Linked DNA regions of Mytilus edulis. The protein of the gene in region 1 interacts with the protein of each later gene in a pairwise test. Links are inferred from orthologs where the notes say so. Each region holds a gene or a part of one and is shown on either strand. Other genes may lie near its edges.

The links.
Region 2: the proteins of tyrosine-protein kinase Abl-like (region 1) and epidermal growth factor receptor substrate 15-like 1 interact in a two-hybrid assay, tested with the Caenorhabditis elegans proteins (2 studies listed by BioGRID). The link is inferred for Mytilus edulis from reciprocal best matches to the Caenorhabditis elegans genes abl-1 and ehs-1.

Annotation. Positions count from the first base shown.
Region 1 is NC_092345.1:30,620,831-30,638,354, forward strand, and holds the start of tyrosine-protein kinase Abl-like, read right to left. Parts: upstream 8,657-17,524; 5' UTR 8,422-8,656; coding exon 8,304-8,421; intron 1,455-8,303; coding exon 1,284-1,454; intron 1-1,283. UniProt on the Caenorhabditis elegans protein: Functions downstream of migratory protein mig-13 and is involved in Q neuroblast migration during larval development.
Region 2 is NC_092344.1:33,430,590-33,447,941, reverse strand, and holds the start of epidermal growth factor receptor substrate 15-like 1, read left to right. Parts: upstream 1-9,705; 5' UTR 9,706-9,741; coding exon 9,742-9,768; intron 9,769-11,252; coding exon 11,253-11,297; intron 11,298-11,949; coding exon 11,950-12,039; intron 12,040-12,811; coding exon 12,812-12,955; intron 12,956-13,445; coding exon 13,446-13,517; intron 13,518-16,661; coding exon 16,662-16,745; intron 16,746-17,074; coding exon 17,075-17,176; intron 17,177-17,352.

The DNA.
Region 1 (17,524 bases):
ATCACATTTATATCTATCGTAAAGCAACATAATATACAATTCAGAACTTAAAAGCTAATGTCATATATATTTTTATTACTATAAGTTATAACTTTATAGATATGCAAAGTTCATATTTTATAAAGCTTCCTGTGTATTGTACTATGTACTGGAAGCAATATAAAATATGAACTGAACCTGAGGGTAAACAATAAGTTCAAATGTCACCAAATCCTTCCTTCTTGTTTTATTTTATGAATGAAATCATAGTATTTTAAGGAAATAAATTAACCTAAGAATATATTCTTATATGAATGGCAAATCTTCAAAAACCTTAATGGGAGTGTTCAGTTAAAAAAAATTTCCCTTGGTTTACACTTAGATAAACAATGTTGACGAAACATATTCATGAGCGATACATACATGTATGCAAGGAATCTACGGGTTCTAAGAATATTGATGCAAAAACACTACAGAACTGTTATTTCTGTTCTGGTCCCAAATTCCAAAATCACAAAAAAAGAAATAATGCATTATAGCTTGGAAAAATGAAATTTCAGCAAAATTTTATAAACATTGTTTCTTGTATGCTTCAAATACAGATAATATATCATAAAAATAGAGTTTTTCAGGTACATGTAGGTGTTGTTTCATCTAAATTTTTCATTTATGGATTCCAGCCAGTGAATAACTCACTCCTTAGGCCAAATAAAAATATATGTGTGGTTCCAGTAACCCGACCGACCCTAGAACTTTTTTTTCATTTCTAAAAAAAAATTTCAAACTATCAAATTTTGAGGAGTGTGAATTAAAATAATTAAATTCATAGATTTCTGTCATCTGAATTTCCAAGTATCTGTTATGGCTAAAATGCAACAATTCATAACAGAATGCAACAAAATTAACTAAAAACATATCATGACTGTTTATTTTACAACCAAACACATGTAAAGAGGCGGACTTCCAGTTGGGAAACAACTTCGGTAAACACACGATTTTTTTCCAGATTTTGACATTAAAAAAAAGAAAGAAAAAAAAAGAAGAAAAAAAAATTGCCGACCTACCGACCCTATTTTTTAAAAGTATGTAACTGGAATCACACATATATTTTTATTTGGCCTAAGTAACAACATGTCAACTGTGGATTTGGCTGTAAATAGGTGTCAATGAATATATATTTTCACTTTAAGTTTCAAATGTTTCGAGTTGAGAATTCAGGTGTTTCATATATACCAATCCCTTGCTCAAAAATAAATATTGTTAATGGACGCTATAACAAAGATTCATCTTATTTCATTACAAACCTTTAAATATACTTAGTTGGTTTTCACCACCTTGCTGGAAATCATACAAAGCAACAAACAGGTTTGGGTCATCTTCACCCTGATTGGCTAACAGATTTTCTTTAGACATCCATTTTGTATCTAGCAGACCTAAGGGGGCATCAGGTAGTGGGCGTGTCTGCAGCAAGGAATCTGCAAATAAAAATTTAAATATTATTATAAAACATGTTTATGGAAAAATGGTAAATTGTGTACAAATTTTTACGTTCAATACATATACAAGTTATTGAAGTAGCAATTTCGTTCTATACACTATTTATAAAGTGTGATTTTTAAAAATACATTCATGACATTTGTGTGTGCAAAATGTGAAAGTTACACCTTGCACTATAAAAAAGCACAGGTGCATTCATTACATGGCATTTTATTTTAAAACTGGAATCTAATTGTCAGAATTAGTTGTAATTATACTACATGTATACAATTAGGCCATTTAGATCTAAGCAATAAATAGATCAATAATTGATGACTACTACAAGTCTGGTTTATAATTTGTCCAGTTCTCTCTTCAGAATCAATTCTAAATTGTCGATGACCATTTGTTTATTAGAAGTCCGTAATTATTTATCAATCACTAACAAGCATTGACAGATAATTGCTTCATTAATGGTCATCCTCTAGTCTTACGGTCATCCTCTGTTGGACAACAACCTTTTAATGGGTTACACCTTCAAGTATAATAAAAACAATGTCTATGTCAATTCTCTCTATACCTATATATTTAGCTACTTGTTTTCTTATGACACCCTGGTATAATGACATTTTTTAAATACAATTGGCTGCAGATATGGATACAGTGAGTGTAAACCATATTTTATAAGACATTAGAGACATTAATATCTGATGAAATCAACCTAAATTGCCTTTGGGAGTATTTATAAATACACACAACATGGGCCAATGGCACATAACTGGTCTGACTTTTTCTTATTTTAATCTCTTAATTTCTGATATAATTGATTCACTTTTTTTCATGTACAAAGTCAACAAACTGACCTCTAAGCCATTTGGCTCTTTACAAATAATTCCTTGTTAGCACACATGAGTGCACATGTGACAGGTCAATTAAAGGAAAACACATGTCTTTATAACAGTCTCATTTTTATTTGATCTTTATATGAATGAAGATATATATCCCAATGGGGTTTGATGGCATATATATAAAATCGATATTTTTAAGTCAGAACAGGTATTTTTTTTAAAGAAAAACTTGGAGACAATCTTGCAAAAAAATAAAACATTCTTTTTTTTAATGATTTTATACTGTAACTTCTGAAGTTTTTGCATGTGTTTATTATTGCAAATGCTGGACAATTGATGCAAGTGCAAATAAAATAGATATGAGAATATAATTTAATCCCACACATTGTGCCTTATTTTCTTGTGTAAGTAACAATGATAAGATCAAAGTTTGAAATTTTATCAGCTAAAAACTCTGCTATGAGGTGACCTTCCAGTGATAACCAGTGATAACAAAGTTATGTCAGAGACTCTCAAAACTGTCAACTGAAAGGGGAGAAATATATTTTAATGAACGCAATCAGGACAACATTACTTACAGCTGTTTAATGATGAGAAAAGAGTACCGAAAATGACACTAAAGAATACTTAAATACAAGTTAAAGTAACTCTATGAGTCACACGTACAGATCAGTAATTATTACATTCCCTGCGAATTATCTAATGCCTGCTACAATAATGTATCAATTTACTAAGTATTTTACAGGCTATGTTATGTCATCTGGTGCCTTTGCCTTCCGATACAAATGTAAGTCATCAAATTGAAGTATCTGTTGTATACAGATATAGAGGATGATTAGAATAAACTTATCATACATGTATAATTTAGGCCATTCCAAACTGAATAGATGTTCTTCACACTTTCTTGTACAAACACTGGAGGAAGCAAGGGAATATTTTAATTTCCCCCCTTTCCAATTTGAAATTAAGTTAGAGCCTAGAGGAGAGCATATCTTAAATTTAGTTAGAGCCTAGAGGAGAGCATATCTTAAATTTTGTTAGAGACTAGAGGAGAGCATATCTTAAATTTAGTTAGAGCCTAGAGGAGAGCATATCTTAAATTTTGTTAGAGACTAGAGAAGAGCATATCTTAAATTTAGTTAGAGCCTAGAGGAGAGCATATCTTAAATTTTGTTAGAGACTAGAGGAGAGCATATCTTAAATTTAGTTAGAGCCTAGAGGAGAGCATATCTTAAATTTTGTTTTACAAAACTTCAATTTTCATGAAGAATGGAAATATATAATAAATTTTCAAACTTTAAAACATACAATTGTGGGACTAGTGATGACATTTTGAAAATAAATAATTGATTTCATTTAAATTGAACAATAATTCTAAAAGTCTTTTGGTATTAGGGCAGTAAACCTTATAAGGTTTACTTATTTGAAGCTAGCCGGGATTTCAAAGGACTATGTCAAGATTCTGTTTCACTCAGTCAAAAAAGAAGATGTTTGATTGATTGTCAGTTTTTAAATTTAAAGGTGGAGAGAGTTGGAGTGCCTAGAGAAGATCATGACCTTCAATAGGAAAATGGACAATCCTAGTCATTTAAAATTGTGAACCTGAATGAGCGTGGTTTCAACTTACAACCTCAGTGTTGACTGGCTATATACTAGCTAGTGATGACAGTAGTAAAAACTAAAACTACTTAGACCTCTTAGCAAACGAGGACCCTCAAACAAGAAGAACTTCCAATTTCAAACAATCAATTACAATCAATATAAATGTAAGACAATTCCTCAACTTCATTCACATGTACATGTACATTGACTACCTCAAAGTGTAAGGTAGTTTTTTCCTCTAATTTACAGAAAACGCATATAGTTGTAGAAAATTGACAAGATTTAAATTACTTATAACCAAAAAATAATTTATACAACTGTGACATATGTCTACACCTGAACCTTCCTTACTTAATACGAAAGACAGAATTGCCTAAAACTATATAGTTTTATCATAGGCCTAATTAAGCTTGTAGAAACAAAGCCTGGAAGCTGTCTGCTTAAAAAAAGAGAATATTGAGGAAACATGACTCAGATGTTTGATGAATGGTTTTTGAATCAAAGACTTTTATATCAACAATACGGTATGAATTTAACAGGAATTTTTAATAATCTCAGCAGGTTTATCATGTTGTGTTGCAACATAATAATAAAATCAATACACAATCCTGTTATATCATACTTGGTCACACATCAAAAGGTGTCAAGTGCAAATATCAATTAATTATATTTCAGTAAATAAACATGTGAATTGTAATAGTAAAAATTGTGCCCACTTGTACAATCACTTGTCACAAATTTTGGTAAGTTCAATCTAACATTATCACATTCCAGTCACAAAACTTCACTGACCTATCCTCAATCAACCACACCAGCTACATGTAGATTTGTACCATGTTACATACATGTATACTGTACAATCTACCTTGCATGTTGTGAATTTGTCTTCCAATAAATTTACTATAAATTCAGAAATTATTGAGATTGTTGAAGAACAGACAAAAATGTGAGATATATGCAATACTTACAGAGGCCCATTAATAAAACATCGCAATAATTTCTGAATTTACAGAAAATAAGTTTGTTTTTTGGAGGGGAAGGGTTGATTCATATTTTTAAGTGTATCCTCACTCCCAGTAAGGTGGGTCTCATTAGGGTCTAAGCGTGACGCGGGATTGCTGATATTTTGTAAGCGTGACACGTGAAAGTCAAATTATTGTGTCGTGAAAACGGGAAATGAGGTCTAGCAGGACCCGGGAAATGACATAAAAAGGAGAATTGCTTACGTATATAGTGTAAGCAGGATACGGGAATCTGACAAAACAGTAAGCGGGATCCGGGATCGGAACCCCCCAATGAGACCCCCAGTAAGGTTGTCTTATTGTGTACTTATTAACTTATTTTCAAAACTTAGGAAAAGATGTCCTGAATCATATCAGTCTTCTCTAGCTCATGAATCACATTATGCAGCTAAAAATAACAAGAGTTTTTCCAAATAACTAAATATCATCAGAACTGTCCAACAGTCAACTGTATAAATAAGGAATTAAATTATGTATTATGTAACTCCTGTCAAATGTTTGAATCAAAGTAAAAGTATAATAAGTAAACAGTTTCTCACCGTTTTCCTTAGTTTTTGCCCAAAACACAAGAGGCATATGCATAAACAAATGGACTTATAAGACGATCACTCCTATTAAGAGTGTACTGACAAAAGCGGTAAAATTTAACTAGTTTATCATGGTTGCAAACTCCATTAGAAATTTGAATTGAGATTATTTTGAGGGAAAGAATTTCTTTTTGGAATAAGGGAAGTGTGAGGTGAAAAAAAATTAGGGGGGGGGGGGGGGGGGGGGAGGTCATTGTCAGATAAATCAAACTGGAAACACTTTTGTACACCTTAAGCTTACTATCATTCCATACAACAAGTATGCTTTAAATATAGTTGACCTATTGTACAACAAAGAAACAAACTTGACCCGGAAAACTTAACAGTGATCAATGAACCATGAAAATGAGGTCAAGGTCAGATTATCTCTGCCAGACAGACATGTACACCTTTCAATCATTCTATACATCGAACATAGTTTACCTATAGCATACAGAATCTAAGAAACAAACTTAACCAGGGAACTCTACATCAACCAACGAACAATGAAAAGAGGTCAAGATCAGAGGATTTACCAGTATGAAATAAAACCCAAAAATCATATTTGGAACTTTTATACAATATTAAAAGACAATAAATGGGGAATGTGTCCATGGAACACATAGATGATGCCCTGCTTCCATATCATATAAAGTTATAAATGGACATAACTGAAGAACAGTAAAAGTGACACTACCCAAATGTGGAAATAAGTATTGTGTATAAGTTTCATAACAGTTAGTTGAGGCAAACTTAAGTTAGAGAACAGAAATGAAAAATTCAGGAATTTGTATAGGGCATACATGTAACTCTTTAACAGTAAAAGTGATGCCACCCAAATTCAAACTTGATCTGTGTTTTGTGGTAACAAGCATTTCTTGTTTGAATTGTTTTACATTTGTCATTTTGGGTCCCTTTATAACTGACTATGGGGTATAGGCTATGCTCATTATGCTCATTGTTGACAGCCATATTATAGTTGTTAATTTCCGAGTCATTTGGTCTCTTGTGGAGAGTTGTCTCATTGGCAATCATACCACATTGTCTTTTTTATATTGTGCATAAGTTAAATATCCTATTTGATTTAGGGAAACTAAAGTTAAAGAATGGAATAGATAAATTCAGCATTTTTATCATATGTAAAGGTACACAACTCTAGAAATATTCAAGTGACACCACCAAAATTCAAACAATAAACATTGTGTAGACTGTAGAAGTTTCATAACATTTGGTAGAGGCAACCTAAAGCTAGCTAAAGGAAATCAATTTTGGGACATACAGACGGACAAGGGTAAAACTTAATGCCCGCTTCGCTATGGCAGGGGCATAAAAAATTTTGAATGGTGGCATCAGACATACATGTATTCTAAGTAACCTCAAAATCTTACGGGAATGTATGTGATGACTAGTTATTCACTGGGGGAAATCGGCTGTTTGTACTCTGTTACGAACCGCCCAATTTGGCAGATGGCAGTATCTGTAAGATTTTATATTTCTCAAATACTTTTGATCCAAAGCATTGACAATAGAGAAAATTAGCAATTGTCTAACCCGAATAATTCAGTCATTGTATTCTGCTTACTACATTAACGCCTGAATGCATAGACAATGAAAAATCTTCAATCAACCATTCGGAATTAGCTCGGGATTTACTTATCTCAACAAAATTTAGCTAATAGCTGATTGGTCACCTCAACTACAGGGCACAATTCAAAATCCAGGATTCATGAAGTTTTTATCGTGTTAGGAATTCAGGCCCTCGCAAGTAGGAAAGATCAATTACGGGGAGGGACTGTTGAAGGCCGTACATTGACCTATAATGGTTTACTTTTATAAATTGTTATTTGGATAGAGAGTTGTCTCATTGGCACTCACACCACATCTTCCTATCTCTCATCTATCTATATAAAGATACCAGAGAGAGATACCTATTGACTGTTTGGAAAGCTGCCTTGAAGTTCTCGACTGTATTTGTGCGGTTTTCAACTTAAAATAATTGAATGCTACATGTAATTGACTGGTACTCAAATATATTCTTATACTTCACTTATACCTGTTGTCATCCATCATCGATACTTTTTTAGACTGATAAAATTTATCACCAAACCCTCCAAAGTCAATATAGTTTATTCCATATTTAATTTTTGGGAGGGATCTTCGTAGGGCCGGATCGAATTGGGCCGGATCAACTTAACAGGGATAGAACTTAAGACTTTGGCAATGGTAGCCCACAGCTTAAATTTTGTGGTCCACATATATAGTTCTATACAAGAAAAGCAAAAATTTAAGTAGCCCAAACAAAATTTTAGGGGCCATTGGCCTGTGGGCCCCTGCTAATTTCATCCCCTGTGACTATGGGCCGGATCATTTTGGGGCCATACCGACCGGATACCTTAGTTCCAATCTATTTTGTTCTTAACAAAGACAGATTTCTTATATACACGACATGTAGATTGTATTATATGAAGAGGAACATGTTTCAGGTGTATGACATCAAGAAATAAAGCTGGGTTACTTTTGAGGTTTTAAGCTTCAAACCAATTTCAGACAACTAAATAAGTTACATTTCCTCACAAAACTCCTTCATGCATGACCATGTTACTTCTGGCTGCCTTCAAAAGGAATTGTTTTCAATTATAAATTTGAGCAAATGCAATGCATTACAAGAACACTTTTTCTCTAGTAAAATGAATATGAGGTTCGTTTGCCTGTAGAGTTTTTTGTAAATTATTTCAAGAGATAAAGTAAATCTTCTTATAAATCTCGAGTGGAGATATGAGTCATGTCCTATAAAGGGTTCACAAACTTACCAGTCGGATCTGTAAATATAGAAGGATTTCCGGGTGATGGTCGAGACTGATCTTTTGTTTTACTCTTAGGTTTACTTGAGCTACTACTTTTTCCTTCTTTTCCTTGTTGTGCGCCCATTCTTCATTTGAACAAAATAAAGGGTGTATATTAGCCCCCTACACCGCTCATGGCACTACAAATGCTACGCTACATTATTTGTACTTTTAGGTCATGCTATTATATACTCAGGAAACATTATCGATAATTGCATAAGGGTTTTATAGTCAAAATTAATCAGATTTGTATATCATTTCCTTCCCTTTTCGGTGGCCGCCATATTGTCTAATTCCAGAACGAGTCTATTTTTCCGAATGAGGTGACCTCATCACGAAAATGACGTAGCATCGCAAATTTCGGGAAACCCCTTCTAAAAATAAATTTGACGAAAAAAGAGATAATTTACCAAATATGGTAACTAATCAAATCATGGTTTGACCGAGATAAAAGTCGATGTCAGTGTACCAGACAAAATAATCTGATATTTTATTCTTAGGAAGCGTTAAAGAATAGAGAAAACTGGTATATATATGAACAAAATATAAAAACCGTAGACCCAGGTAGCACAAAAACATTTTATTGATATTTTTAAAATATCTTGCAAAATATCACCAAAATATCATTCAAAAACATGTTTTTGACGTGATATGTCTGGCTGTACTCATGTGAATAGCATATTTTCTGGAAATATTTGTTCTGAATGTTTAAAGAGCATTATTTTTAAATATCTTGATTTTATATTGAAATAACATAATTTTGATATAATTCAGTTTCAATTGAAAATATCCAGACAACATCTTTCAAACATCAGGACAAAATATTCTTCTAATGTCTAGGATATGTTTTATTGATGTCTACTTAATGGTTTTTTTTAAATACAGTCTGTCAACCTTATTCTCATTTTAATAAAAGTTAAGGCATTGGATTGAATGATTATAAGTCAATTCATAAATTCTACTGGTTAATATTATAATAGAGTAGGAAAATTCACTCGTGTAATGATGTGTTGATTTACAAGAAATTGAAAAAATGAAAGTATATTCAAATTGTATTTGTTGTTTTGTGCTGGTTTTAAATATTTTTTGTTTGTGCATAAAATTATTCAGATATTTAAATGACTACACAGATTTGAAAATGTTAGATAAAGAGAAGGAAGAGCACATTTTTTGTTAGAACATTGGAATAATATAATTTTCAAGTATGTGGTACAAAGGGGGTGAGATAAGTACCTAATACGTTGGCATATTGTTGGCACAATGTTGGCTTATATTTCTTTATTGGCATGAAATATCAATCATATTTTTTATAAACACTGTTTAAAAAACTTTGAATTAGGCAAAATAGAAAGAATTTTCTAGTTCTAGGCACAGATTATCGTAGTCCTATTTGGTATGACTTTATCATTTTGATTTTTTACTGGGTCCTCAATGGGGATTATGCTCTTAGAACACAATCGTTATTCGCTAGATAATTTTTCTTTTGACTTGATTTGAATTTTCATTTAAGTTAGATTAGAATTGTGAGGCAAAATAATTGAGCCGAGCGAAGCGAGTCGAAATTTTTTTTTGGAGGGTATGAAATGAATGGTGCAAAATCCTGCATTCTAGGCATTTTTAGAGAGTTTGATAATGTTTTGAATTTGGACACTTTTTATACAAATTTTTCATATTTCAAGACATTCACGAACACCAAATTTTTAACAACTTTATTTAAATTTATATGTAAGATAATCATCCAAATATCACTGATTTGAGTCTGCTGTCAGAACATAGAACATCGATTGATTAGAGTTTGCCAAATTTTTCTATTGCCGGTTCAGTCAAATCGTTTCAGAATCATAATTTGGTCTGCTGATATCCTTATCGCGATAAACACGGAGCATGGCAAGACCGCACAATCTCTCGCCACTCATGCATGCTCTTATCCAAGTTTTCAGTCGTTTCAGGGCAGTCTGTGTTTCTAAAGGTAGCAAATTATCATCAACACAATGATCAATGTCTCCTTCCAATTCCTTCTCCATCAGCAATTCGGTAGCAGCATCGGTAGACTAGTAACAGTTTTGTATTTGTATTTTGGAATTAAGCTTTCCTGTAAGCACCATCATATACAGTCGCAGTTTCAAAATATTAAACTCGCTTTTATGCTGACAAAGAGTATACAAACTAGGGATAGAATGAGATAAGATACAGGTATATGATTTTATCTATAGAGTAAGTATATCTGGTATGGGTACAGGGGAAATTGGACTGGAGTTTTTGACGTTTACATGTAAGTCCGTAATTTCCGATTATTTCTGGAAATAGTTGGTGGTATTTTAGTTCCAGAATCTATAAATTTAGGGGTTAGGGGTGTTCCGAAACCCCGAATTTAAAGAAACGAAATTCCGTAGTCCAGAATAAGTAAAGACAAAATCCTGTGTTAAAGGTTCTATCATTCGATCCTCAATAATATCAAATTGGAATATGGGATATTCTTTCAATTTTTAAGGTTAAAGAAACATGGATAAAAACTAATCCATGGAGGTTTCATATTATTTATATTTTAATAATCTGTAAAGAAAAAGATTAAAGTTCGTGAAATGAATACGCAGACAGGACTGTAAACTGGACCCCTGTTGTGTTCACTTATCGCTACACTGACGGTGCGAAGCTATAGATAGAACGGCGGACCAGTTTAACAGGACTGCCCCCTTGCGATGCCCAGTACTTGATTTGTCAAAAGTTGGTGAAACGGAGAAATGAATACGCAGACAGGACTGCCCCCTTCCGAAGACCAGTACTTCATTTGTCAGTCTACTTATCGTTTTTGGATTGTACTAATGAAGTTGTATGCAATACTCAGACTCTGTTAAAAAAAAACTAGTTTACTAGAATTATTCCTTATTTACCTTCAGTGTCGCTTTTCCTTTTTCTGCAAGAGCCTGTTTTTAACTAGAGATCCATTATGATTATCGTTACTAGGTTAATGTAATCGAGAAACATCACCCGTTAAGATGCTGAGTTATATCCAGGAAGAATAGTTTAAAAGGAATGATGCCAAGTTATAGAAATCAAGGTTGAGACAGAACAACAAATGACTATTATATTTATATAAATGTATAAAAAAAATCAGTGTTGAAATTTTAGTGAGGCATTGCCTCACTTGCCTCAAGGGTAGCTACGGCCTTGAATGCTCTTAGAACACCATCGTTATTCGCTAGATAATTTTTCTTTTGACTTGATTTTAATTTTCATTTAAGTTAGATTAGAATTGTTAAGACTTTTCTATCAAAAATGAGGAGACATTCATGTTAATCTGATTAAAAAATTATATAAAAAATATTTCTTTTTCATATCAAACATCATGGACTTCACACAAATATCACTAACAAACATAAGAAAAACATTTGTCGTACATCTTACAAATATCAATTAAAAATATTATGTAAAAATGTTTATAAAATATTTCTTTTTTCATATCAAACATGTGCTTCATTCAAATATCACTGACAAACATTTGGAGAACATTTCTAGCATGCTGTACATCTTACAAATATCTATTAAACATATATCTTAAAACTATTATGAAACAGTCTTTAACTAATATTTTCTAAATAAAATCGAAAAAATATATTGTTATGATGTTATTGAAATATTCATTAGATATTACCATTTTTATATTTTTGATTAGGACAAGAAAAGTATATTGATGTTACATATCAAAAAGATATTTTATTATACATCAAACCTATGCTGATTAATAAACAGCTGGACTCTTAGGGGAAACATTGTTTAATAACTTTTTTATATAATGTTGTATACATGCATAATGCGTTTCGTTTTATATTACATGTAGCTGGAAATATTTTTCCAGTTGTAGATCATACATTTGTATTAATTCTGACTATATGTTATATTATTAATTGTTTATATCTCTGTACCATGGATTTTGGTTTATGAGAATAAAGATATATGCTTTACATAGATGTAAATCAAAAATGTTTTATAAATATTTCTTTTACACATCTAAAAAATATATATATTAAATGTTATATAAAAATGTCCATCAGATATTGATTGAATATTGCAAAGAAATATCCCCTCGACATACAATTGTTCTCATTTATAAAACTGTCTATTTAACGTTTTAAAAACATCAGCAAAGAATATTTATTATTCATTATAAAAAAATATTTACAAAAAATGTGTTTATATTAGCAATCAAACATTGGGACGAAATATTATTGTTAAAATATCATTAATGCATCATTTCTGATGTAAAAAAATGTCTTTAAAATATGTTTTGGTAAATATTTTTGAAAAACATATATATAACCAGTCAATAATATCATGAAAATATTATGTGTTAGCTGGGGAGATTTTGTTATGAAAAAACTTATTGAAAGAAAGAAAAAAACGAAGTCCCCCAAATCAAGACACTCATATAGGCTCTCCCCTAGGGATGTGACATAATAGAGCAACATTATACTATTCCAATATTTGATTTTTGGTAGAGAGGTTAGTGGAGGATGATCTGGGAAATTAATATTTTAGCCTTTATAACCTGGGCTCGAACTATTGGTATATTGCTTAAGTGCTTACATCTTTTGAGCTAACAAAAATAAAGTTGCCTGTAAAATTATGTTGGCATTCGAGGAATAGGTGTAATAAGTTATCCTAGAAAAGTGCACGCTGCAAGTTATCAAAACCATCATATTAATTTAACAGATAGGTAAATTAGAGGTAGCTAAATCTAATTCATGTTTCTCAAGTTGTTGAAAATACTTTTTTGCTGTTACTGCTTGAACAAATATTGATTCTCTTAAAATGGAACTTTGCACTTTTTTCAAATCCCTTATTTATCTGAAACGCGCGCAAGTTCTGTTTTAATTATTTTTTTTCAACCGTATTTTGGTCTCAACGCTTAATATATAGGTCATAAACTAATCAAAACATTTATTAAATTTATCATCGGTACAAGGACAGCATTCGTAACTATAAATCAACACGTAGACATCTTAAACGTTCAGGTATTTCACATCCAATATTTGATGGTAATATATATTCTTTCAGTGACAAAGCACAAAAATGTTGGCATTTACCTCAAAAGCTAACTAAACAATAAACAGAATTATTCGGAGAGGAAAAAGTTACAAAACTGTTGTCAGGTCAATAATTATGTTCTTCTCTTATATGTTATGATGGTATAATACTAAACCCCTAATGGGAGGGATTGAACTAGATTTTCATATGATGAAGACATAATCTTTCAATCAGTTTAATTGATGTCTGAAGCTGGCATGGTAGTAGTCATCATTTTGTTTATTTTCTTTGGTTACATCTTCTGACATCAGACTCGGACTTCTCTTGAACTGAATTTTAATGTGCGTATTGTTATGCGTTTACTTTTCTACATTGGCTAGAGGTATAGGGGGAGGGTTGAGATCTCACAAACATGTTTAACCCCGCCGCATTTTTGCGCCTGTCCCAAGTCAGGAGCCTCTGGCCTTTGTTAGTCTTGTATTATTTTAATTTTAGTTTCTTGTGTACAATTTGGAAATTAGTATGGCGTTCATTATCACTGAACTAGTATATATTTGTTTAGGGGCCAGTTGAAGGACGCCTCCGGGTGCGGGAATTTCTCGCTACATTGAAGACCTGTTGGTGATCTTTTGCTGTTGTTTTTTTCTATGGTCGGGTTGTTGTCTCTTTGGCACATTCCCCATTTCCATTCTCAATTTTATCTTTGTTCATTTATGTTCAATTGTCATTTTGCTTAGTTCCTTTTGTTACCTATTCTGACATCGGACTCGACTTCTTTTAAACTGAGTTTTAGTGTGCGTATTGCTATATATATGTGTGTTTCTTCATTCTGCATTTGCTACGAGGGAGGGGGGATCTCACAAACATCAAGAGCCTCCTGCTTTTGTTAGTCTTGATTTTTATTTTCCATTTTAGTTCATTTCTATGTTTTGGATTTTAACTGAACTAGTACACAATTTTATTTAGCGACCAGCTGAGGACCACCTATGGCTTCAGGATTTTCTTGCTGTGTTGAAGGCCCATTGGTGGCATTCGGTGTGCTCTTTCGTCGGTTTGTTGTCTGTCTTTAATTTTTGATATATTCACCATTTCCATTCTTAATTTTATTATCAGTGTAAGACTTTGAGTTTTTTTGGGACAACATAAAAGAATTTTATGATAATATTTCAGTAGGGTGTAAAAATTTTGAAAAGTTAAGCACAAGTGCCAAATTTAATTGGCTTTTTATTCAAGAAAACCTAGAGGTATTGAAAAATATTGCTATTTATATTAATAAATGTTTTGAACTGAGAAAACTAGCAATATAGTATAGATATTGTTTTATTAAAGATGTTGAGAATATTTGCCTGTTAATAATAAATATATTGTTACATATATGCCTTTTTATGGATATGGCTCTGATCTGGTTGTAGATTAATATCTAAGAAATTATATAGTTAAATTCATGTTTATGATCAAGTTGTGTCATTATTGTTTCATTATTGTAACAATTATAAAAATCATTGTAATAAGAAATTGCTTTGCTCTTTATGGGCCCTTTGATTGGAATAAAAATATCTTATCTTATCTTATACCAATATGTAGGATATAGCAAACAATGTAACGCACATAATTGAGTATGTGGCTGCTGGGTTTTGTTTTTTTGTTTTTATTTCCCCCGTCGTAGTGGAGGAGGCATTAGGTTTACCATTGTCCGTCTGTACGTATATACGTCCGTCCGTTCGTGCGTACATCCCAAAGCTTGTATCCATTCTCTAAGTTTAGTTTGCTTCAACCAAATATTATGAAACTTATACAAAATACAAAAACTTTGAATCAACTACAACTATGGACAAAGGAAGATAACTCCAATTTAAAAAAAAAATAATAATCAACTACAATTATGGACAAAGGAAGATAAATTTAATTTAAAAAAACAAATTTTAACAATTACATCAACTCTAACTAATGCTCTATACAATGCAATGTTTACTAAACAAATTAAAACAATCTTTACCCTTCGGTTTTTACAAGCAGTTTGGTCCAATGTTCTTCGGTTTTGTCCCTTTCTAACCTTATATCATATGCAAGCTGGGGGCATCATCTGTGTCCCATGGATACATTTCTCATTTGTTTCTTATGTTACGGTTTCTTATTCCTCACTGGGATACAATTTAAAGTAGTTTGTAAAATTAGATAAAAAGTCCTTAAATATATTAAAAAAAAAGTCAAGTTTAAAACAAATTACTAAATTACAAATGGATTGCAACACTAAGAGAATATAAAAGAAGGGCAATAAATCGACAAAATACAATCCCGGGAACAGAAAAAACACAAAACGAACTTAAAAACAAATGAGAAACATGGATCTAGAAAACAGCGGTTACATCAGAAAGCGAACAGAACCTGAATCTTGCAGGGAGCCGCAATACAATATGAAATGAAGGCAAGAAATATTTGAGGATGAAGTTGGAGTCCAATCAACTTGCAACTTAGTACTGTGACATGTTTCCAATGATATGATCTTTGTAATGTGATGTCAAACTAGAGATGGACCCCAATTTCACTGTCAACTGATCATTTTTAGAAAATGATAGTGCGAATGGGGCATCCATGTGCTATTTTTTGACACTATTTTTGTATATCTTCCAGTTTCTACATAACAAAAGACAATGATCGCTTTTATAATTTTTGTTAAACTTGCTTCGTTATATGTGTGATATTCCATTTTGTTATTTATATTAGATTTAAGATATTTATATAGATATATTTTACTATTTTTACGGCAGGTTATGAAAAAATATATTTTTTTTCAACAAGACATACATGTATCTAAAATTGTATTTTTACAGGGCATTCCGGTGTATTGCTATCGTCTAGATTTCCATTCACGTAATATTCGTTTTGGATTTTTAACTGATCTGTAAACATGATGAATACGTAAACGTCATCAAGTTCCTTATCGCTTGTTATAAATTCATTTCTTCAATGAATACTCATCAAATACTTTTTAAAGAAGATAGATTAATAATATTAAAAATTAAAAAATCATTAATATCTATGCACACGCATACTGAAGAATATCTCTAGAACGTTTGCAATCTTAAGGAACGGATAACTCTGCGTGGAGTCACTCTGAGAGACATGTTCACCATGCATTTGCACTGCACTTTTATTTGTACTAGAACACATCCGCGAAATCGCGGGTATATACAGCTTGTGAACTGTTGTAGTATGATTTTTTGGAAAATATATTATGTATGGAGAATTTCATAAAAGGTATCAAAAGCCCTCTCCCTTTTTCCAAAGTCCGATATTTGTTTCCTTTTTGTTAAATTTAATTATTTTCGTGATTCTGGTCTCAGACCACAATTATTCTTCTCCTTTGCTACAATGCTTCTTTTAGTAAAAGTCAAATCAAAGTGGCAGTCGAAATTTTCCCGACTATCATCCTAAGTGGCCTTTATCATGACACGACCTACCCATTGTATTTATTGTTTAACCTGTTCTCGTCCTGAACATGCATGAAATATTTGCCACTGGACGTTAAGCAACCAACAATCAATCACTCAAATCAAATTAAAACTTTGCACCGTTTCAAACATCAAATAAATGTTACTGCTTATATATAGACCATTATCATGATTATTAGTCTAATAAAATATGCTTCAAGGACAATCCATCAGTGCTTTTTCTTTTGAGAGCCTTATTAACATGCCAATGGTATAGGATATTAATCTTGTGGGAATCTTGTATAAATTACTAAAACAGACTAAGGCTTATTTGAGGGGTGGTCGGAGGGGTCCTGATCTCGAAATCCCGAGATGCAATATTTAAAGAAATTCATATCCCGAAATATTGAAATCGAAAAATATATTCCCGGATCCGGACCCGTAAGGATCAATCCCCAAATCCCGATCTTAAAATCACCCGATCCCGACGCACCGAAAAAGGTCCTGTCTCCCTCTAATCTATACCTTACTTTCATTTTTGCAAAATCACTATTTTCCATTTCAACAATAAATTTGTATGTCCCATTTATGAGAATTGTGTTTTCTAGTCTGTGCATCCGTGCGTTTGTTCGTTCGGTCGTCCGTCTGTCCATCTTAAGGTTAAAGTTTTTGGTAGAGGTAGTTTTAGGTGAAGTTGAGTATGTTTCACTTATTTTGATATATATATATGCA
Region 2 (17,352 bases), on another chromosome or scaffold:
ACAACTGTCATATTCTTGACATGGTACATGCATTTCCTTATGCAGAAAATTAAACTGGTTTAATAGTTAGCCTCTCACGTGTATGCCAGTTGCATAGAATTTTATTGTACATGTATTGACAACAATGTGCGAGTAAAACAGACATACTAAGTAAATATGTCTAACGATAGGGTACATCACTCAACATTGCATTGTAGTCTTATTCACTATAAAATAAAACAACTATGTCAACAAAGAAAAACCAAATGGCATAAAGTCAAAGCACATTAGCATTAGAAAGACAAGAATACACAAAATGACCATCGTACAATATTACACAATAGCGAGAGGTAAAAATACTTAGCAACACCAAAAGGATATTACAAAAAAAAAATGACCAAACAGTAAAATTTAGAAATAAACAAAGAAAAATAATAAGATGGTTACAACGTCAGTACAAAGAATTTATACTTCAAGACCATCGTGTATCATTTGTGAAGTTGATACGAAATATTTATCAACAAGGTCGTGATATCTTCCGAGGAACATTCTTTTTAGAAAAAAAGACGAGATGTCTCTGAAATAACCCTAGTTTATCAACCTTTTGATCAACCACTGGTGATGTTTTATAAAGTCTGAGTAGCAGCTGCAATCTCTAGAATGCCGAATGAGTTGGGACATGTATATTTCATATGCAGGTGAAGATGGTAATTGCTGTTAAGGTGGAGGAAAATTTACAACTTGTCTCGTTTGTCATAGATTCTGGTACTAAGATGACCGCTTATGCCAAATTCGAGGTATAAGCCTAAAAAGTAGGCGGAGTATGTTGTTTTTCTAATTGTTAGTCACAGTACCAGTATAGTACACAAATATTGTGGGCTTCCCCATTTATCCGCCGATGAAAAAGCAAAATAACAAAAATACTGAACTTCATGGAAAATTCAAAACGGAAAGTCCCTTTTTAAATGACAAAATCAAAAGCTTGAATACATCAAGCATAATGAAAACAACTTTCATATTCCTGACATGGTACATGCAATTCCATGTGTAGAAACTGTTGGATTAAACCTTGTTTTATAGCTAGCTAAACCTCTCAATTGAATGACAGTCGTATGCAATTCCAAAAAAAATGACAACAATGTGTGCGCAAAACTAACAGTTAAACACATTTATTTTCTACATTGTAACTGTAGAGACTACTGTAACAGTAATAGTAGTCTCAGGTTACTGTAAAAGAGGGGCGAAAGATACCAAAGGGACAGTCAAACTCATAGATCGAAAATAAACTGACAACGCCATGGCTAAAAATAAAAAGACAAACAGACAAATAATAATACAAAAGACACAACATAGAAAACTAAAGACTAAGCAACACGAACCCACCAAAAAACTGGGGGTGATATCAGGTGCTCCAGAAGGGTAGGCAGATCCTGCTCCACATGTGGCATCCGTCGTGTTGCTCATGTTATTACAAACCCAGTAAATAGTCTAATTCGGTAGGTCACATCCGTGTTGAAAAGGGAAGTGGATTGTAGTTACGACATAAGGAACATATCAGATATCATCTGTGAAACGGTTATTCCATAACGGCCAACCAACAAGTGATGACGTCCGTAAAATTTACGAAGGGATGATTTCAACTTCACCATTTGGATGAACACGTCGACCTCACGATTAATAAACACTTTTCCTCGTTCCTAGTCGAACAGTTGCCTATATAACGGAGATACAATGGATAAGCGTTGGTTCGTCAAAAGATCTCATTTCTCTTATTTATTTTCTATTGATTTAACGTCTTTTTATCATTACAATTATTCACTTACCTATAGACACTAATATTGGTGACCTACGAATGCCATTTAATGACATTTTTCATAAATAAAAATATGTTAGCAGTATGAGAATACTTTCCTAAACTCATGTTTTCCTTGTTGTGTTTTGTGTACTATTGTTTGTCTATTGGTTTGGTTTTTTTTTTTTATCTTTTTAAGCCATGGCGTTGTCTTTTTATTTTCGACATATGAGTTCGAATGTCCCTCTGATATCTTTCGCCTCCTTTTGAACGATTATGATTCAGAAAGTTATACGTATGTCATAAAATAAGATGTTAAGAAATTATTCGAACAAATTATCAGGTTAAATTGTTTTTTCTGAATTTTTGTAAATGGAAACGACTTAAGCCATAACTTAAATTACACAGTAGCAATTAACGAAAAAGCATTTGTAAAGTTTGTTTTCTAATAACCCTTCAGTAAGACATACCGTAAGAGGCAAATAATCTATATAAAAAAAAGTAAATAGTTAGCAAAGGTACAGGCTTATATGTGATCCGTGTAAACTCAATGAACCATTACACAAACATATTAGTAAAGGTTTTCTTACCAATGTTGTAATTAGATCTTTGAATATAGTTTACATTGGCACTAATATCGATTTTGTCATCAGCAAATTAAAACATAACTAAATTTGTATTCTTTTCAAACGGGATATATAAAGACACACCCACGTTCATTTTTATCTATTAAGAGGTTATTCTACTACCTGTCGATACATTAATTTTTGGCATTGCACAAATCCTGTCTTCTTTGACTGTCCATGACGTTAAAATACTAAATACCTGGGATGTGTTTTAGTTGCTTTTAGTCTCTGGTGCATGATTTTAATCATTAATTGTTTTGGCTTTTAACTAGCTGTCAGTAACTGCGAGTACTCTCAAATCGTACTTTCTTGTTAATTTGACCTGTTGATACTATTTGTAATTATCTTTTTTTGTTATTTAATGTTTTCTTATTCAGGGTTATATCTGGTCTATATACCAGCTTTGATACGTGTTTGGTGTTACTATAAACTTTCACTTCTTCGTACTATGAACATCAAAATTATTTGTAAAAATATTTCCTTTCTCTTTTTATACTGTATACCTAACAACAAAATTATTTTCATTTACCGGTGTATGATATTATTGTAAATGGCGGATTTTTGTTCAAGGTTATTGTTGTTTTTCTGAAATCGTTAACATTTCACAGCGGTATAATACTGTTACTTTAATTATTCATCCCATATTCTATTGATTTTGTATTTACATTGTACCATATATCAATAATATTCGTTCAGTGTATGTTCACTTGTGTTACGGTCAAGGAACAGTAAATGGGCTATGTGGCAGATTTTTCTAAAATTTTGCATGCAACCTTGACTCGATGAACTAAAAATGAAAATCGAAAAAATAATGCGTTTATCTCTTTTATTACCTGAAATATTACAGATTGATTTCTTTCAATAGAAGTTATTATTTGTATAGATAGCACATAAAATTTTGGCTTAAAAACATCAAATCTCTAATTCTACTCCATAGATTTTTCTTAAAAACTATTTGTTGTTGACACATAAAATTCTGTTTTAATGATATAAAATAATCTTATGGTCACCGACGTGGGATTTTTTCACAAAGAACACGACTGTGAATGATGTATACCGTAAAAACAAAGTCGGTGACCCTATCTTTATTTTGCACCATTAAAACGGAAATTCATGTATCAACAAGATATAGTTTTTTAAGAACAATCTATGGAGTAGAATTCGATTTTCGGTTGTAGTTTTCAAAGTTGTATGCAAAATTTTACTGAAATCTGTGACAGAGCCAATTTGCTGTAACTTGACCTTTATATGTCTTTTGATTGAGTTAAGCCATTTCAATTGATATTTTATAGTGTGTCTTTCTATGTTTGCACCTATCCTAAGTCAGGAACCTGATGTTCAGTAGTTGTCGTTTGTTGATGTGGTTCATAAGTGTTTCTCGTTTCTCGCTTTTATATAGATTAAACTGTTGGTTTTCCCTTTTGAATGGTTTTACACTAGTAATTTTTGGGGCCCTTTATAGCTTGCTGTATCCTTCAATCACCCTTCCAGGAGGTAGTGAATTCAAAAACGCACCCACAAAGGAGGTACAACATTGACTACAAAAAGTAAATGATTTATTTCAATGAACACCACAAACAACTATCCAGAGAAATACCGAGGTTCCAAAATGACCTGGTTATTCAGGATAGTCTATAAATCAAACCCAACCTAAAAATTAATGGACAGAATATATAATTTTCCATGTCGCAACCTAAACATCGGTCCAAGGATAGTAATTACTCCAATAGGCCGCATATCTGTTATATGGACTTCATATGTCTTTGGTATGTGGCCTGCCTTATGGTCTTTATTAAACTTTTTCGTAAGGAAAGAAAGGCTAAAAAGCAACCACACCTATTCCCCAATAGTGACATTTTGACTGAGTGAGGATACCCATTGCGGATAATGCATGCATAACAGGAGATGTTTACTCCGAGACGCTACCTGTTTCGCTCCTTTTGGCGCCATGACGTTGTTAGTTCGTTTTCGACGTATGAGTTTGAATGTTCCTTTGGTATCTTTCGCCTCTCTTTTGGAGCTCATGCGATTACCTCAGTGTTTGGTTCTTGCCTTGATTCAGGTGATATACTGGTTATACTTATCGTGAAACATATCTTTTTAAATACTAGTATCCCATATCAATAAAAAAAAAAATCAGGAGCTTATTATGCTTCCGTAATTTCTAATTTCTCATTCAGTCAGGAATGTTCGAAGTGTCCTTTCAATATTGTATTCCGTTATCAATTAAATATAAATGGGGAAAACAAATGATAACTTGTACAGTCCTACACAAGTACTATGATAAAATACCAAAGCAGTTATATTGTTTGGTAAAAAAGTAAAACATATATCAGCTAAATAACTTAGCCTCTGTAAGAAATGTCCAAATGTTAGTACAGCTGTATTTATAAATATATATTGGCCTAATTATCAAACGGGTTGAAACAACTGGTCAACGGTTATTACTTTTTGATAGTCTTCTGATTATACTTAACGTTAAACACCAATATATATACATATATACTAGTATATATAAACAAGTCTAAATTAAAAACAATGTTCAAACCTATGATAATGATTGCGTTGGATAAAAACTAGTGTTGTCAAATCGTACACTTTTGCCTAACCGGTTACTCGGATAATCGTTCGACCGATTAACCGGTAGTTTAAGTTGATGTTTGATAGCCTTATCTATAGTACCCTACACATAGATATAAGAAGATGTGGTATGAGTGTCAATGTGGCAACCTTCTATCCAAGTCATACATTTACGCTTTTATAATACGATGAACTGAAGTTTGTCCTTTGGTGTTGTAAGGATTTTCTATGAAGATTCCTGGCGAAGTTTGACTTTTAATAATCAAATACACTGTATCAACTATGGCGTTTGTACTAACTTCAGATTGAAAAAAAACCTTCTTGATCTCGTAGAATTTAATATTGTCTGAAACTGATGTTTCTTTCACTTTGGCTTGTTGTCTCCGAAAATAATGCTTCAATTTAAAATGATTTAGCATGTTACTCGTACTATCAAGTATACATCGATTACATTCACACTGGTTTGCATATCACAATTTTTGAGTTAGCATTCCGTTTAAAGTAAGACTAGGAGATTGCAAATTCAGATGTAGGTCTACACAATATTAGATCAAAAACGAAATAATGAAGTAAATCGTAAAATTTAATCGTATTACTGATTTAAAGTTTCTGTTAAAAAAACATTTATATACTAATTATGTTTCTTTAAGAAATTGCCCCGAGCTGAGAGACAAGTTCTAATTAATTGTTTATTTTTGGATAAGCAATAGCAATCAATATACTGGACAATTGATCTGTCAACTTAATTACCAAGACGACAATTTTTAAAGAAAACATAATTGATGATTTCAATACAAATAAGTTAAAATCTATCAAAAGTGAAAAAATATCCGGTTAACCGGTTAGCGTATTTGGTATTCGGTCGTTCAAACGGTTAACCGTTGACAACACTTATAAAAACCGCAATTTTTATATAGTGTGCATGTAAAACAAATTTCGTTGTAGAGGGGTCTTAGTACGTCCAAACAAGTGACAACTCTACTAAAGATCCATTGGATGACCAGTGAAGGGGATACACGGCTTCAAACACATATTATATTCATAATTACTCTAATTATCAGCACAACAATAGTATATCCGCAAATTTGTTCATGGGTATATCGAGACAACACCGTCTGCATTCAAGACCGATCGACCACGTAGACTTAACTAACAATTCAGCTTTCGGTGGCTTAGTGTTACCTTTCCTCGTTAGTAGAATCTAGAGTTGTAACACAGTATAGTATATTAGGCATGACAATGGAATTGATTGCAGACTAGCTAAATTATCAGTCGTAAACGATAGGGAGATGCAATCACATAAATACCATCTCATATATAAAAGCACATCATGCAGAAATGCATCTAATATGTTTTTTTTCCCTAAACTAGAGTTTTTGCTTCTTTCCAAAATCAAAGTTGAGAATCTGGTAATCCATCAGATGAATGTTTCCTTCATGACAGTCTTGAACATAAAATTAGATACTGAATAAACGAATCTGTTTGACTTTCACTGTGCAACACAGTTAAACATAGAACCTTATTTAAATATTTTTGTCAGAAAACACTGTCAGACATCTTAACATATTATCCACACTTATCTACACTTGTTTAATACTTGTAAATATTATATAAAGAGAAACACCAGAGCATACTACACTTCATGCAATCGTCATCATGTTATAAAATGGTTAGTATTCGAGTAGGCAGATCTATGAAAGCTAGTTTCTTATTTTTATTAAGATAGATATGAGAAGATGTGGTATGTGTGCTAATGAAACAACTCTCCATCCAAGAAACAATTGGTAAAATTAAACCACAATAGGTCAGAGTACGGCCTTCAACACGGAGCCTTGGCTCACACCGAACAGCAGCAACAAAGCCCCACAATGACTAGTGTAAAACAATTAAAACAGGAAAACCAACGGTTTAATATATTTAAAGAACGAGAAATGAGAAACACTTGTGAACCACATCAACAAACGACAACCATGTGCAAACAAATGCAGCAGGTTTAAAGGTTATAACAGGCACTAACCTTCACACTAGCCTGAGGAAGAAGTGTAACAAAATAACATAAAAAGACACACTATAAAATACCTAAAAAAATTAGATTGAAATGGATTAACTAAAAATAAAAGACATATTTACAAAAACAAGTTAACATACAATGAACGAATAAATATTTTACAATTTAGCTCAAGATAGATTACTTACATAAGCTAAGGAAGTCAAAAGAAGTCATTTATCAACCGCATAATCGGGTGAGATAGAATATATGAAATATTGGGATCATTATAGAAAAACATTACCCCTGTGAAAAAAGTTAAAATACTGGTAGGTTTGAAGCGGTAATTGTGAGAGCAGCATTTAACTAACCAAATCAATTTTGATATATCGTATTATATTTGTATTGACTCGATCAATCTAACAAAAAAAATAAACTCACAAAAATACTGAACTTTGAGGAAGCTTCAACACGGAAATCCCTTATCAAATGACAAAATCAAAAGCTCATACGGCACACCAAACGAATGGACAAGGGTTTCCTTTTATTTTGTCTAATACTGCAGTCTGTAATTTCACATGTTTCATCATGAAAAAATACCAAAAAACCTCACATATTAGATTGTCGTTTGGTTTTTTTGTAGTATAGATTTTTTAAATTAGTAATATTTAACAAAGCCATAGTAGAATACCACTATTTAATAGTCATGAATCGATTCAACTAAAACAATCCGGGTCACACACTAATACTGAGGGAAAGACATCAAATATATAAGAAGGAAAAAACAGAACATCAAAAATGCATAATTGTTGAATTATACCATTTACATGCAAACAATTGTATAACCGCATTCAAAGCGGTGGGTCATGTAGGCTCAGGAGCCTGTAATTCAGTGGTTGTCGTTTGTTTATGTGTTACATATTTGTTTTTCGTTCATTTTTTTTACATAAATAAGGCCGTTAGTTTTCTCGTTTGAATTGTTTTACATTGTCTTATCGGGGCCTATTATAGCTGACTATGCGGTATGGGCTTTGTTCATTGTTGAAGGCCGTACGGTGACCTATAGTTGTTAATGTCTGTGTCATTTTGGTCTTTTGTGGATAGTTGTCTCATTGGCAATCATACCACATCTTCTTTTTTATATTGCTTGGTTTAAACGCCTGTGAGTAATATGATCGTATAAAAGTTCAAATGCAGAGCACATAAAATTAAAATTAAAAAAAACTGAAAATTCAAAAATGGGGAGTTCCTAATCAAATTGACTAAATCAAAATCTCAAACACATCAAACGAATGGATAACAACTGTCACATTCCTGACTTGGTACAGGTATATTCTAATATAGAAAATGGTGGATTAAACCTGGTGTCATGACAAGCTAAACCTCACACTTGTTTGACAGTCGTATACAAATTCCATTATATTGACACCAATGTGGGAACAAAAACAAACAACCATAATAGGTATAATGCCAAAAATTTTAATTTCTAACATCTTGGAACAATCAATGATTTTTTTAAATTATATAAATTATTCGTTCTTAAAGCATGCTATTTAAGTATACATTTGTCACTTTTATAAAACAAAAATGAACTATTTTATTTACTCTGTCTTTCAGTCAAAAACGAGTAACACGTGTGTAAAGGTATTGAGGTCAATTTGTTTAACCATCTTAAGTTTATACAGTAGATATGTGATATACATGAACTTTGCACATCTTCAGGGGCGGATCCAGCCATTTCAAAAAGGGGGTCCCAATCTAGAGTAAAAAGGGGGGTTCCAACTATGAGCTCCCATCCAAATGCATTGATCGTCCAAAAAAAGGGGTTCCAACCCCCGGAACCCCCCCCCCCTGGACCCGCCACTGATCGTATCTCTCTTATACCTTCCTATTTCTTTGACAAGCCGTTTGGTGAGCGGCCGATGGTTGCCATCGCTGCCTGAATGAAATCTACGTCTCTGTGACCAATTAAAAATACCAATTAACCACAGTTTAACTTGAAAAAAATAATCAGTAAAAAATAGTTTCAATGAACCAGATGCAGATCGAGAATTTAAAATAAAGGGGACCGGCGACAACTGGCAACATTTGGAGTGCAAGTTGTAAAAAGTCTTTGCATTAAAGTATATAATCATGATGTAGCTCAATATCTTGAGGACCTGGGCCGGCTCTGCTCCTTAAATCCGCCATTGTGGACCACATTCTGTACATGCTGTACTATAATTAAATCAAACTGCTGCCTGGCATATAGTCTATCTGACTCTCAAAAGTTTGCTTTTGTTTTAATTTCTGACATTAAATAATTACATTTTGGACGTAACACTTCTTTTATAAACTGACATAATTTTGGTCATGTGATCATGACATCATCAACGTTTTTTCATGATTTACTCCCCTAAAATGTAATTGAGAATTACGTAGTAAGCAATAACTGTAAAATTATTTTTTTATTCTCAAAATAATATAAAAGAAGTGGTGCAAACTGTTAATTAACCTAACTTTTAGTTTAGACTGGACTATTAGTGCTACGCTGTTATTCGGTGTGTACCACAGTTTTAGGTAACTTTTTCATAGATAGAAAATAAATGTTACAGTAAATCCTCGAATAACTGAGATTGCCAAGAACACAAATTCTCTAATTGTATCAATCGGTCTTGCTAAGATTTACAGTTTACTAGGAACACGAATTTGAATCTAATTCACCCGGAAATTCCAGTTGGACCGATACTGTTTTTTCACATAAAAATTAGACAGCACACGAACATTTCCGGTTAAGGATGTCAAATTTTCCACCACTTCCACAGGTTTGAAACTCTGTTATTCATTAAAAGGCGATACTTTTCGCCATTATGCACACTTTGTCGTAAACAATTAAGCAAATAGTAAGAAAATGTATTTCAATGGTCGAGTCGTTTATCATATTTTGCACTAGACAATTGACCTCAAGTACACGCAAATTATAACTCCTTCTGGGCGTAAGATATAATTGTTCTTTCTTCTTGTGTATTTGATTCTTTCTAAATAAGTTTAATTGTTAAAGAATCTTACTAAAACAAACTTAGCTGCCATACATTATATCCCAACACACAATTTTTTTCTGATACTACATTGTACTATTATTTGATCATGTCCCCTTCTAGTTTGATCACTTAACACATATTTTACACTTTAGTACAGAGTTCGACTTGTAACAAAGAAGAAGAATAAGTTCATATAGTACATCTTTGTTTGCTTTTCTCAAATTTTAGTCCAACAAAGCTAGATGTGCAAATTTGCATTTGCATGATTAGCATAAAGCAGGATTTGAACGATTCAATGTTTGTTCTCCCTTGTGCCTATTCCACCACATACCCGTTTGCCCTTGGTTCTGTTTGCCTGAATATCGTATTTATATTATTTAGATTTCATGGATGTCTTGTTGTTTAATTTAAAATATTTAAAAAAAAATATATGTTGAAGTTTGATGAAAATATTGTCATGATTGTAATGCTGCTACCAGATATAAATTATGTTTTCCGTCACAAGGTGACTAATATGATTAGTTCATTTGAAAAAACCTTTTTGATTTTCAAAAAAATGTATATATTCTTCATTTTGTTTTTTAATATTTACCATACAAATATCTGAATAAGTTTATAAACCTTTCTACAATCAATATTTAATTATTTTTTCTTCGTAAAAGTACATGGCAAATGAACCCAGGTCTAACTGACTCTATGGGTAAACTTGTTATCATGGTTATCTAGCCGAATGAACCAGCTTATACTCATTTGAACCTCTGCATATCTGATACATTGTGGTATTACTGTTTCCAGCACCAAACACCACTTAACTAACTTGGCTATATAAAAATACAGCTTTCATTAGTCAAGTATTACCTTTCCTTGTCGGCTTTATGTTGGGTTGTAACACTGAATATGAGATACATTGTATAGTCAAGTACTGCCAGATCGTATACCTTGCAGATCAGCTGTTTTTTTATCTGTCCAAAGGATGTTAATTTTACTCACATCATATTATAATTTTTACATGTACATGTATATTCATGTTTTTTAATTCTAACATGTAAAAAAAAAAGGTAAGAAGTATGTAAGCAAGATAACAAAAATTTATGAAGGTTTGTTAGATGAAGATGACCGTTCATAAGACAAAGATCTTGATGCTGAATGAGCAATACAGGCTCTTTTGAAACTTCTAGTACTCTACATATGTAAGAAAAAAAAAATTGATAACACAATTTATAGTTTGAATTTCATTTATTGATACTGTGTATTTTTAAAAATTTCAGATTGCTGGTAACCATGCATTAGTTTATGAAGCATATTATAATCAGGTATTGTTTAATGTTAGATCACTACATCAGATACATGTACTATTACTTAGCAAAGCACTATTTTAAAGTGATGTATACAAATGTAGCTAAGCAACAGAATTATATAAATGGGAGTGTAAAAGACCTTGACTGGCTATACAGCTCTTGCATGGTGGGTTATCAGAATTAAAGATAAAAACATAAGATTATACATATGTATGCATGTGCTGTACAACACGTAACTTAATCAGGCAGTGTTAAAAACTTGACAAATAGAGACCTACATAAATTGACATTGATTAATATTTCAGTTCATAAAAGGAAGAAATGTGCGAAAATAACTTTCTTTTTCGTTTCCTGTTCTGGTAATAGAAGATACAGTTTGTTTGAAATGCACTATGAATAAACAATTAAGGGGTGATAACTCTGTAATTTGCTTCATTCTAACCAAAACTTATCTGTCATGTCTGTAGTTCTTTTGAATTATCAGACATACAGAAACAAAAGACATACTATTTCTAGCTCAGGATGATGGTTTGTTCAGAATAGCATGGTAAGGTTGGTCATTTTTTTCTGACCATGTTTTGATATTTATTTGAATTGCCTCGTTTTTAAAAAGACTCGCTCTTGAAAGTATATTTGTAAATAATTATATATTTTTATGTATTTATAGGCTGATCCAAAAGGAACAGGGAGCATAGGAGCTTTAGATGCTGCAAATTTCTTGAAGAAATCTGGACTCAAAGACTCAGTTTTGGGACAGGTATTGTAATTTTTATCTGCAAAAAGTAAATGATTGTTCTTTAAATCCATCATGCTCAATACAATTTAACTGTCTTTTGGTATAAAAATTAGCTGATTTATCTTATATATTGTAGTATTTCTTGCAGCTTTTAGATTTTAGAAAATTAGATAAAATGGCTGTTATTGAATTTTGTGTGTAAAGGGAAAAAAACAAAAAAATGCATTTTAGTAATGACCACAAAGAACAATAAGACACTCAACCTCTAATTTCCTCCTGTAGAAATATAGGATTTGATGGTTTGCTATAATTCTGAATAGTTTATAAAAGAGAGAATGAAACTGCTAATTACTGCACATCAATATGCAACTAGCCACAGAGCTTTAGAAGAAAACATTACAGAACCTTAACAGGTTCAAGCCGAACAGACTAGCAATATGGTTATATAGTTTTCTGAGTACATTTATTTATGAGATTGGGGATAGTTGTGATTGGTGGTATACATGTACCTGGTAGAAAATGTTGTTCAATCAAAATGTGAGCCATTATAGATGACATGCAATGAGTACAAAATTGGTAAATAGATATAAAAAAGATATGGTATGACTTCCAATTCTCCATCCAAGTCACATTTTGTAAAAGAAAACCATTTTAGGTTAAAAAAAAAAAACGGCCTTCAACATGGAGACTTGGCTCACACCAAACAGCAAGCTATGAAGCTCATTTGATAAGAAATCATTTGCAAGTATTTGATGAAGTTTGTATGATAAGAATAAATTTTATGCTTTTGCAGATATGGGATTTGTCAGATCCAACCGGAAAAGGATACTTAGAGAAACCAGGCTTTTATGTTGCTTTAAAGTTGGTTGCACTATCACAGAGCAACCAGGACTTAAATTTACAGAATCTGATAATTGATGCACCACAACCTAATGTTGTATGTATAAAATTACTCATTTAATTTTGAATTTTCATTGCTTATACATACATGTACAGTTGACACACAACTCTATGAAAAAAAGAAGCACAAACAAGGACAAACATCAATGAATAACACATGTACATTGTTAAGATAGCCTGACTCCATAATGGCACAATATGTGAATGCCTTTCATAGCTTATTATATGGTATGGTGATCTTTACTTTTTACAGGAGTATCTCTTTAGTAGAGTTACCAGTTTATCTTAAAACTCAGGTTTTTTTTAAGTCATTGCTGTTATCTTGTTTGCTTGGGTAAAGAAATACTTATATTTGTGATTGCAGTAGATAATTATTCTGCTATTATTTGGATTTTTCAATACAATGAATCTTTTTCACTAAAAGAATTTGAAACAAATAAAAAATAACATAAACACACATCTTACAATAACATTTTAACACAATATAATAAGGACAATGGCTTGTATTTTATGATTTTCATTTTCAGGGACCAGTTGATTTGACTCCAAAGCCTGAGCCAGCTGTACAGAATGCTACCAGTGTACCATGGAAAGTTTCAGTTAGTATTTCTTTGTATCAAATTATGAAAACCAAAGGAACACATTATTTACTTATATGTAATTTAAGTATTGTTTATACAAACAGAAAAGCATTTCAGTTTACAAGTAATTAATTTTATAATAAAGATGCTGACATCATGGATGCAATTAATTAACATACACGGACCACTTGTTATATCTTGAGGTTAATTATACATATTTGACACTTTGAAGTTACAACTGGAATCTCACTAGGAGGCACACTAATCTTTTCTTAATCAGATACATGTCATAAACAATCACTGTAGGAGAGAGAAAGCAGAATATGATACCAGATCTCTTTAATACTTTTACACATTAATTAGTATGTTATTTGAGGGTCAGTAGGTCAGTCTCCTCCCCCTGGATGTTACATTTACCCAATCTGTGTGTAAAGCCAATTGCATGGTCTTTGTATAATCAGTTTCTTGGTTCATAGCAGCCTGACTAGTTGATGGAGTTTTACAGTGCTATTATTCAATTTATTATTCAACTGAACTTCATATTTATTTTTTTTAACCTTTGTCAATTTGATGACTGATTGATATAGGATTATTGCATGCAGTGCTAGCATTGATTTCCTTAATACAAGTTTATTGATGTATTTATTGGTTAAAACAAATAAAAATATGGAACAAATCAAGTACACCTTTCAGGGTGCACTCCACTTTAGTAAAACAGCATGAGGTATTTTGGAATTTACAGGTTGGTTAGAATTTTCTGTAAAAAATAAACACTATCACATCATAGAAAAGCAAATGAGTAATCTGTTTCAAATTTTATAACAAAAATCTCTGTATTAAAGGCTGTGGATTTTCTATAAAAATCTTGGTTTATTTGCAACAAAGTACTCTTTTTCTATTAAATTCAATGAAACAGTAAATAATAATGCTTTGCATCAAGTTTCCCCTTGGTATATATACAAAATGGCCTATCTCTATTTTTCATTATATCTGTAGTTTTTATACGACCGCAAAATTTGAAAAATTTTTCGTCGTATATTGCTATCACGTTGGCGTCGTCGTCGTCGTCCGAATACTTTTAGTTTTCGCACTCTAACTTTAGTAAAAGTGAATGGAAATCTATGAAATTTTAACACAAGGTTTATGACCACAAAAGGAAGGTTGGTATTGATTTTGGGAGTTTTGGTCCCAACATTTTAGGAATTAGGGGCCAAAAAGGGCCCAAATAAGCATTTTCTTGGTTTTCGCACTATAACTTTAGTTTAAGTTAATAGAAATCTATGAAATTTTGACACAAGGTTTATGACCACAAAAGAACGGTTGGGATTGATTTTGGGAGTTTTGGTTTCAACAGTTTAGGAATTAGGGGCCAAAAAAGGGCCCAAATAAGCATTATTCTTGGTTTTCGCACAATAACTTTAGTTTAAGTAAATAGAAATCAATGAAATTTAAACACAATGTTAATGACTACAAAAGGAAGGTTGGTATTGATTTTGGGAGTTAAGGTCCCAACAGTTTAGGAATTAGGGGCCAAAAAGGGACCCAAATAAGCATTTTTCTTGGTTTTCGCACCATAACGTTAGTATAAGTAAATAGAAATCTATGAAATTTAAACACAAGGTTTATGACCATAAAAGGAAGGTTGGTATTGATTTTGGGAGTTTTTGTCCCAACATAATAAGGGGCCCAAAGGGTCCAAAATTAAACTTTGTTTGATTTCATCAAAATTGAATAATTGGGGTTCTTTGATATGCCGAATCTAACTGTCATGACTGTGTATGTAGATTCTTAACTTTTGGTCCCGTTTTCAAATTGGTCTACATTAAGGTCCAAAGGGTCCAAAATTAAACTTAGTTTGATTTTGACAAAAAATGAATCAGTTAGGTTCTTTGATATGCTGAATCTAAAAATGTACTTAGATTCTTGATTATTGGCCCAGTTTTCAAGTTGGTCCAAATCGGGGTCCAACATTAAACTTTGTTTGATTTCATCAAAAATTGAATAAATGGGGTTCTTTGATATACCAAATCTAACTGTGTATGTAGATTCTTCATTTTTGGTCCTGTTTTCAAATTGGTCTACACTAAAGTCCAAAGGGTCCAAAATTAAACTTAGTCTGATTTTAACAAAAATTGAATTCTTGGGGTTCTTTGATATGCTGAATCCAAAAATGTACTTAGATTTTTTATTATGGGCCCAGTTTTCAAGTTGGTCCAAATCAGGATCTAAAATTATTATATTAAGTATTGTGCAATAGCAAGTCTTTTCAATTGCACAGTATTGCGCAATGGCAAGAAATATCTAATTGCACAATATTGTGAAATAGCAAATTTTTTTTTAATTAGAGTTATCTTTCTTTGTCCAGAATAGTAAGCAAGAAATATCTAATTGCAAAATATTGTGCAATAGCAAGATTTTTTTTTAATTGGAGTTATCTTTCTTTGTCCAGAATCAACTTAAATCTTTGTTATATACAATATACAATGTATATTCACTTTTTACTACCAACTGATAAATTGAAATAATCTTTACCATTCAGTGATAACAAGCAGTTTTTTTTACATCTTAATATTTTATGATGTATTTAAATGAGTAGTTATTGTTGCAAACTCCATTAGAAATTTTAATTGAGATTAGTTTTGGAATAAGGGAAAGGGGGATGTGATTAAAAAAATTGGGTTCAATTTTTCTCATTTGAAATTTCATAAATAAAAAAGAAAATTTCTTCAAACATTTTTTTGAGAGGATTAATATTCAACAGCATAGTGAATTGCTCTAAGAGAAAACAAAAATTTTAAGGTCATTAGAACACACATTCATTCTGTGTCAGAAACCTATGCTGTGTCAACTATTTAATCACAATCCAAATTTAGAGCTGAATCCAGCTTGAATGTTGTGTCCATACTTGCCCCAACCGTTCAGGGTTCAACCTCTGCGGTCGTATAAAGCTACGCCCTGCGGAGCATCTGGTTATACAATTGAAGTTTGAAAAGTTCGTACAAAAATGGCTACAGAAGGGGTCATAAACCTTAATACATATTTCAATTCAAAATATGATCATTTAGATTAAAAAGATAACGAAATGAATTTAGATATTGAAAATAATAAACATGTAGTTCTAAACAATATTATGAGAATAATTTGTGTTTGGTTATTTTGTAGGCTGTAGAGAAAACCAAATATGATCAGTTGTTTGATAGTTTGGTTCCTGTTAATGGACTGTTGTCAGGAGATAAAGTTAGACCCGTAAGTATTCACAGAGAATAAGCTCAGTGTTAATGGAGACAAAGTTAGACTTGTAGATAATATAAAATATTAAAATTGTTATCCTGATAATTTTGAATCAGTTAATTTCCATCAACTTCATAAGTTTTCTTGTGTTGGCATTATTAAATGTACTGTTTTCAAAAACTGAAAAAAATATAACCTGATAAGCATAAATTTAAAATATAATTTAAAATTATTTGCAATAAAATGTAATGATTAGATGATGCTTCATGTAAACTAGTAGTATATATAGAGTAACTTTTTGTTCTGAGTATGATAGACTAGTATGTTATTATTCTATTTTTCAGATGTTAATGAATTCCAAGTTACCTGTAGATGTTTTAAAAAATATTTGGGAGTTAAGTGATGTAGACAAAGATGGCTACCTTGACAGAGATGAATTTTGTGTGGTTAGTAGTACACAATCAAAAAGACAGAACAAATATTTAACACTTGTTTATAACTACAAAGAGGCTAACATTCTTGTCTTTCAAATGTTTTTTTAGGCCTTCCTACTGATAGTTAATCCAGAAAAGCAATTCTGACACACAAAATTTATTTAAGAATTGAATGCTGCTTTTTGTAA